2 linked regions of the Xenopus tropicalis genome follow. The protein of the gene in region 2 purifies or fractionates together with the protein of the main gene of each other region. This does not show direct contact. Links are inferred from orthologs where the notes say so. Each region holds a gene or a part of one and is shown on either strand. Other genes may lie near its edges.

Evidence for each region. Proteins that work in one complex are often made in the same cells at the same time.
Region 1: the proteins of anapc2 (region 2) and anapc11 purify together in Homo sapiens (affinity purification with western blotting; 7 studies listed by BioGRID and IntAct, with this or other methods). This does not show direct contact. The link is inferred for Xenopus tropicalis from reciprocal best matches to the Homo sapiens genes ANAPC2 and ANAPC11.

What each region holds. Positions count from the first base shown.
Region 1 is NC_030686.2:27,902,867-27,906,814, reverse strand, and holds anapc11 (anaphase-promoting complex subunit 11), read right to left. Parts: upstream 2,801-3,948; 5' UTR 2,777-2,800; intron 2,635-2,776; 5' UTR 2,628-2,634; coding exon 2,519-2,627; intron 536-2,518; coding exon 390-535; 3' UTR 276-389; downstream 1-275. UniProt on the Homo sapiens protein: Together with the cullin protein ANAPC2, constitutes the catalytic component of the anaphase promoting complex/cyclosome (APC/C), a cell cycle-regulated E3 ubiquitin ligase that controls progression through mitosis and the G1 phase of the cell cycle.
Region 2 is NC_030684.2:1,703,698-1,707,781, forward strand, and holds the start of anapc2 (anaphase-promoting complex subunit 2), read right to left. Parts: upstream 2,801-4,084; 5' UTR 2,691-2,800; coding exon 2,607-2,690; intron 583-2,606; coding exon 1-582. UniProt on the Homo sapiens protein: Together with the RING-H2 protein ANAPC11, constitutes the catalytic component of the anaphase promoting complex/cyclosome (APC/C), a cell cycle-regulated E3 ubiquitin ligase that controls progression through mitosis and the G1 phase of the cell cycle.

The sequences.
Region 1 (3,948 bases), on a different chromosome or scaffold from region 2:
AAAGGAGAAGATGCTTTCCCTTGAGATTACATTTAAATATGAAAGCGAAGCTTCTATTTGGTATACTGGCAAACATCCCAGCATTTGGCTGACTCAGTATGTAGTTGAAACAATCCCTAGTTAACAGCACACTTTATGAAATATGGTATTTCTTCCAAAGGGGTCCATCCTGTTCTGTGTATAGATCACCTTTCTGGCGACTTCAGCTGCCATAATATTTGAATAACAATAGCCATGCCAGGAGCAATGGTGCAACTTAGATTTAAAAAAAATGATCCAGTAATAACTGTTTTTATTGGAAAAGATCATGGGGGAACAAGCACAACTATGATATTTACAAGAGATATAACAATCTTAATGGGTACTACATGGAACTAAATCTTTGCATTTCACTCTTTGAATTTCCATTCCTGACGACACATAGGGCAGTGCTGCTGCACCTGCTGGGAATTCAGCCATTTTAAGATGCAATGCATGTGGAAGCAGTGAGAGCAGTGACCCCACACCAATGGGCAGTCATCTCCTGGGATTTTACCTGCAAGGGCAAGAGTGAGAGACATTGAAGTATAGTGGCGTATAGGTGTCCTGAGAAGAACAGTGTTGTATAATATGAAGTAGTAAGTTATAAGGGGTGGTTCACCATTAAGTTAACTTTTAGTATGTAATAGAATGGTCTATTCTTAGATTATAGTTTTTGAATGATATGCCTTCTGCTAACTCTTTGCAGCTTTCAAATGGAGGTCACTGACCCCAGCAGTCAAAATCAATTGCTCTGTGAGGCTACAGTTTTATTATTTTTGTTACTTTTTATTGTTTATTTTTATATTCAGGCTCCTCTGTTCATATTGCAATCTCTCTTTCAAACCACTGCAAGGTTGCTAGGTTAAATTGGGACCTAGCAACCATATAGCCACTGAAAGCCCAACCCGAATTGCTGCTGGACAAGCGAAATAATTAAAAAACCCCAAATAATAAAAAATCAAGACCAATTGCAAACTGTCTCAGAATATTACTCTCTACATCATACTAACAGTTAATTCAAAGTTGAACAATCCCTTTAACTACTTGTAGGCATTATAGTACACTCTGCCTTGCTTTGCCATGTTTACCCTGTCTGCCCATTGCCTACCTACTTGCCTTGTTGTTTACCTGTGCTGTAATACAACTTCCATCAGTTGGCAAGCATCCCTCCTATCTAGCTCTGCTTCCTACTTGGATCCAATTGCATTTATATTGATCAGTGGCACCTAAGGCTCTTTTGACTCTCCTGCTCATGACAAGAAAGAAGTCAGCTGCATAAAGCCATAGGAAACAGCATGTTTTTATAGGAGAACTATACCCCCCGGGCGCAAAAAGCACCCATAACTATCACTGCCTAGACCCCTTCAACTCTCCCTAATCACATTGTTTTTAAGTTTAATGCCCACCACCTTCTTACTGACTGAAGACTCTTTGGGTCTCACCGCAGACACCGAACCTGCTTGCACATGTGCAGTTGAAGTGGATTTCCTGTTACCCCCAACTGCGCATGCACAAGCAGGTTCGTATCGGCGGAGAGACCCAAAGTGTCTTCAGTCAGTAAGATGATGTTGGGCAGGTAGGCGGCTGCGCTCCTCTGCATTATTAGCTATTGGTTAGAGATAGGGACAGACATTAAACTTAAAAACTTTGATAAGGGAGAGGTGAGGGGGGGGGGGTCTAGGCAGTGATAGTTATGGGTGCTTTTTGTGCCCAGGGGTATAGTTCTCCTTTAAGGAACCACATATTATTTGATGCCATAATGATTTAAAGGAGAAGGAAAGCCTAAGTCACTTGGGGGTGCCTAAATGTTAGGCACTCCCAAGTGACTTTAATCGCTTACCTTGTACCCTGGGCTGGTGCCCCTGTTAGGAGAAAACAGCACCAGCCCGGGGTAGCTGTAGCGCTTCCTTCTTCTGCGTTTGCCCCCTGCAATTAGAGTGAAAAGATGAACTTTGTTGTTAAAGTTCAGCTTTTCACTCTAATGCGCATGCCCCGGGCCAGGGAATTTGCCGCAGAATAAGGAAGCGCTGCAGCTACCCCGGTGCTGTTCTCTAACAGGGGCACCAGCCCGGGGTACAAGGTAAGAGATTAAAGTCACTTGGGGGTGCCTAACATTTTGGCACCCCCAAGTGACTTTGCCTTTCCTTCTCCTTTAAAGTGGTTCTTTATTTTAAACCTAATGCCAGAATAGCAGGGTGTCATGTTAGGATATCCCTATTAGTCAGAATACCTACAGCCTTGCTTACTTCAGAACAAGCAAGTAAAAACAGTAAAATGAGAAACAAAAATCATTTGTAAAGAAGCGAGGAATCTCCAATGTAACACTCACAGGCTTGTGTGCTAGCGGATTAAATATGTACAACTGTTCTAACATAAGGGATCCTCATTAGAATGTAAAGGGCTCCAGACTATAGAAACCCTGGCACAGGCCATGAAGCCATGTAGTAAGCCCCATTACAGGGCATGTACATAGGCCTATGCTCCTCTGAGCACTCACATTCAGGGCAGCAGCCATTAAATGCCATACGACAGATCCCACAGTTGTCATCATTAGCCACCCATTGCCAAGAGGCAACGCCATTCCAGCACTTCAAGCGAACCTTCATGACGAGCCTGGAAAACAGAAGCATATTGTAATGATGCACACAATCCTCATGAACTAGAATGCACAGGCCCCACTATGTGCAACTGCTAAGGGCCACACACAGCCTGCACTCCCATAATAAAAACACATAAAACCCATATCGCTACTTACACCTCCTGCAAATATGCTTACAGCCTCCTCACAGAGGACGAGCGTTACGACTACACGTAGCGCAGTGACGCACACGGAGCCGCCCAGTGGGCGTGGCCAATCGGTGTAACATAAGAGGGAAGTGCTGCTCGGTTGCGGTACATTCTCTCATCAAAATCTGTTCTTATTCTGCTCGCACCTTCTATTGTTTGAAAACAGAAAAGACGACTTTTGTGTTGTTTATCGCCATGGCTTGTGGCACCTTAGCTCCCAGTCTCCTTACAAATCATTTGTATTGGCTGTACAGAGCTTCTGCTTGTGCCATCAGAGAGACCTCTCCCGAACTGACCCAAATGGGAAGACGTTTTGTGCAAACTAGGGCAAAGTGAAATTGTAATCATTCTAGATTTTTATTTTAGTTTAATCCACGTTTATTGAACGTAATATGAATTGCAATAAAACTCAAACTCACAGATCTGCTTTACCGAGGCGTAATTATCCTAAAACCCTTTATGATTATATAATACCTTAATCTCAGGTAGCAGTTTATCTCGAAGAGTCAGCGACACACAGATTAATACTTAGTTCAACTGAAATGATAGCAGATAGATATTAAGTCCTGTTAAACAAAAGAATTTTGTAAAGGTCCCCATACAAGGCCGATTATAGCTGCTGATATGGGTCCCTTGGACTGATTTGGCAGCTTATCGGCCTGTGTAGGGGCAGAACCGAGGGGCCTGGCCTACCGATATCTGGCCTGAAATTGGGCAGATATCAATCGCCCAGGTTAGAAAATTCAGTCGGATCGGGGACCGCATCGGCTCGTTGATGCGGTCCCCGAACCGACTGCCCCATTGCTGCCCACATAATCCGATCGTTTGGCCCTAAACGCTCCCCGGTATCGCCCGCCCGTAGCGTGTATGGGGACCTTAACTGATCATAACACACATAGGGGCACATTCATTAAAGTAAGACAGGTCCGATTACAAAAAATTTGTACCAATTTTTGATCAGAAATTATGTTTTCTTGAAAGTACTTGACATATTTCTGATTGTCTTCTCTAATGGTGCATCTTTGTGTAAATTTATCCAAGTATTTTTGTACTTAAAATGACACATAATATTCTCATAATAGAAGACAATGGCTGCTAATCTATCAGCATGCCTGGTAAGCAGCAGACCATATCTGTTGA
Region 2 (4,084 bases):
CCAACACTGGTCTCTGCTGCTCTCACAGCCCGGGCACTGCCACTCATCGGCGCCTCTCTCGTCCGAGTCGCTCTCGCGCTCATTCTCATTCATGCTGCTGTCACTCCCGCCGCCGCCGCCGCCGTCTCCTCTCTTTCTCTGCTTCATGTATATCTTAAAGGTCCGGCTGTAGAACTGCTGGATCATGTCCTGGAAGTGGCTGGAGGTGGAGAAGAAAAGGATGGCCTTGAACATGGTGTAGACTTTATCCCGCAGCATCTGGGAGTCGGACGAGCCCAGCAGCCCCGTGTCGATCCACTTGGCGAGAATGTCCAGGCTGCGCAGGTAGGGCTCCAGGCGGGACACGAGCAGGCGAAAAGCGTCCAATAAGAGCACAGCGCAGTGCTCCTCCTCCACCGCATTCTCGTGCTGGTTGATTCCATTCCAGAACTCTGGGGCAATGTTCCTCTGTAGGTCCATCTGCAGAACTTCCGTGAACCATTCTTCCACCATGGAATGCAGGTCATAGAGGTGCAAGACTTCTAGAGCGCTCTTAAGGTGGGCTTCAACGACTGACTCCCCCGTGCTGGGTCTGGGTGCTGCCTGCAAAGGGAAGTAGGTAAAGCTTTATTATCTGTAAAGATAAACTCCTTATAGAACAGAAGGGGGTGAGGGGGCTCTATGGGAGATGTAGGGGGTGTCTGTGCCAGTACTGGGGTAAGGGGGTGCCACAGAAAGGTGTGAGGGGGCTCTATGGAGATGTAGGGGTGCCAGGTACTGGGGTAAGGGGGTGCCACAGAAGGGGGTGAGGGGGCTCTATGGGAGATGTAGGGGTGCCTGGGGTAGGAGTGGGTAAGGGGTGCCACAGGAAGGGGGTGAGGGGCTCTATGGGAGATGTAGGGGTGCCTGGGGTAGGAGTGGGGTAAGGGGGTGCCACAGGAAGGGGGTGAGGGGGCTCTATGGGAGATGTAGGGGTGCTGGGTAGGAGTGGGGTAAGGGGGTGCCACAGAGAGGGGGTGAGGGGGCTCTATGGGAGATGTAGGGGGTGCCTGGGGTAGGAGTGGGGTAAGGGGGTGCCACAGAGGGGGTGAGGGGGCTCTATGGGAGATGTAGGGGTGCCTGGGGTAGGAGTGGGGTAAAGGGGGTGCCACAGGAAGGGGGTGAGGGGGCTCTATGGGAGATGTAGGGGTGCCTGGGGTTAGGAGTGGGGTAAGGGGGGTGCCACAGAAGGGGGTGAGGGGGCTCTATGGGGAGATGTAGGGGTGCCTGGGGTAGGAGTGGGGTAAGGGGTGCCACAGAGGGGGTGAGGGGGCTCTATGGGAAGATGTATGGGGTGCCTGGGTAGGAGTGGGGTAAGGGGGTGGCCCACAGGAGGGGGTGAGGGGGCTCTATGGGAGATGTAGGGGGTGCTGGGGTAGGAGTGGGGTAAGGGGGTGCCACAGGAGGGGGTGAGGGGGCTCTAATGGGAGATGTAGGGGTGCCTGGGGTAGGAGTGGGGTAAGGGGGTGCCCACAGGAGGGGTGTGAGGGGGCTCAATGATGGGAGATGTAGGGAGTGCCTGGGTAAGGAAGGGGGTAAGGGAGGTGCCACAGGAGGGGGGTGAGTGGGCTCTTATGAGGGAGATGTAGGGGTGCCGTGGATGGTAAGGTGAGAGTGGGGAGTAAGGGAGGAGGGTGCCGAGCAGAGGGGGTAGGAGGGGCTCTATGGGAGATGTAGGGGTGCCTGGGGTAGGAGTGGGGTAAGGGGGACAGCGCACAGGAGGGGGTGAGAAGGGGGACTCTATGGAGAGATGTAGGGGTGCCACTGGGAAAGAAGTAGGAGGGGAACGGGGGAGAAGGTGCCACAGAGGAGGGGGTGGAGGGGGCTCTATGGGAGATGTAGGGGTGCCTGGGGTAGGAGTGGGTAAGGGGGTGCCTCAGGAGGAGAGGGAGGGGGCTCTAATGGGAATGTTAGGGTGCCTGGAGGTAAGGAGTGGGGGTGGGCCGACAGGAGGGGGGTAGAGCAAGGTGGGGTAGGGGGGTGCCTGGAGTAGGAGTGGGGTAAGGGGGTGCCACAGAGGGGGGTGAGGGGGCTCTATGGAGATGTAGGGGTGCTGGGCTAGGAGTGGGCTAAGGGGTTGCCACAGAAGGGGGTGGAGTAATGGGGATGTAGGGCCACAGGAGGAGAGGTGAGTGGGGCTCTCGGTGCCTGGGGAGGGTAGGATGAGCTGGGGGTGCCACAGGAGGGGTGAGGGGCTCTTGGCGAGATGCTAGGGTTGGGGTAGGATGGGTAAGGGGTGCCACAGGAGGGGTGAGGGCCTCTATGGAGATGTAGGGCGTGCCTGGCGGTAGGAGTGGGGTAAGGGTGCCACAGAAGGGGTTGAGGGGCTCTATGGGAGATGTAGGGGTGCCTGGGGTAGGAGTGGGGTTAAGGGGGCCCACAGGAGGGGTGAGGGGCTCTATGGGAGATGTAGGGGTGCCTGGGGTAGGAGTGGGGTAAGGGGGTGCCACAGGAGGGGGTGAGGGGGCTCTATGGGAGATGTAGGGGTGCCTGGGGTAGTACTGGGGTAAGGGGTGCCACAGGAGGGGGTGAGGGGGCTCTATGGGAGATGTAGGGGTGCCTGGGGTAGGGTGCCAGTCGGTGCTTACCAGGCCCAAGGCGGAGGGCGGTACAAGCCCGACGCTCAAGGCGTTCCAAGCCGCAGACAGCTGCTCCAGGCTACACTCAGACATCCCGCCGGCTGAGGGGAGAGCGGGCGCCTAGTAGTGACGTCACTCCGGGGCCATTAGTAATGACAGTGACAGGGAGCGGACTCCCATAACCATGGAGACCAGAGACGCGCTGAAGACAACGGAACGCCATGACGCCATCACGTAGGCTGTAGGTCTGGTCACATGGGTAGATTCTGCAGCGCTGATAGGCTGCCTGGGTCCGTGTGGGTACAAACAGGAGGGAGCTGCCGGCTGGAGATTTGAGCGGGTCCGGGGCCGGGAGCTGGGGCTGAGTGCGGGGAGACATGAGCCAACAGGGGGCCGCCCTTCAGACTTACAACAACGAGCTGGTCAAGTGTAAGCGATTTCCCCCTCTTATGTACTGCCTTGTACCCCCCTACTTCACCCCTGTGTGTGCCAGGCTGTACCCCAAAATACTAAGCATTCCCTATGGGTGCCAGGCTGTACCCCAAAATACTAAGCATTCCCTATGGGTGCCAGGCTGTACCCCAAAATACTAACCATTCCCTATGGGTGCCAGGCTGTACCCATATTGTAACCCAGTGTGTCAGACTGTACCCCCAAGTGTACTAGTTATCCCTGTGTGTGTCAGACTGTACCCCCAAGTGTACTAGTTATCCCTGTGTGTGTCAGACTGTACCCCCAAGTGTACTAGTTATCCCTGTGTGTGTCAGACTGTACCCCCAAGTGTACTAGTTATCCCTGTGTGTGTCAGACTGTACCCCCAAGTGTACTAGTTATCCCTGTGTGTGTCAGACTGTACCCCCAAGTGTACTAGTTATCCCTGTGTGTGTCAGACTGTACCCCCAAGTGTACTAGTTATCCCTTGTGTCAGACTGTACCCCCAAGTGTACTAGTTATCCCTGTGTGTGTCAGACTGTACCCCAAGTGTACTAGTTATCCCTGTGTGTGTCAGACTGTACCCCCAAGTGTACTAGTTATCCCTTGTGTCAGACTGTACCCCCAAGTGTACTAGTTATCCCTGTGTGTGTCAGACTGTACCCCCAAGTGTACTAGTTATCCCTGTGTGTGTCAGACTGTACCCCCAAGTGTACTAGTTATCCCTGTGTGTGTCAGACTGTACCCCCAAGTGTACTAGTTATCCCTGTGTGTGTCAGACTGTACCCCCAAGTGTACTAGTTATCCCTGTGTGTGTCAGACTGTACCCCCAAGTGTACTAGTTATCCCTTGTGTCAGACTGTACCCCCAAGTGTACTAGTTATCCCTTGTGTCAGACTGTACCCCCAAGTGTACTAGTTATCCCTTGTGTCAGACTGTACCCCCAAGTGTACTAGTTATCCCTTGTGTCAGACTGTACCCCCAAGTGTACTAGTTATTCCCAGTGTACTAGGCCGCCCCCAACCAAATGTACTAGCCAGGCTGTACCCCCAAAT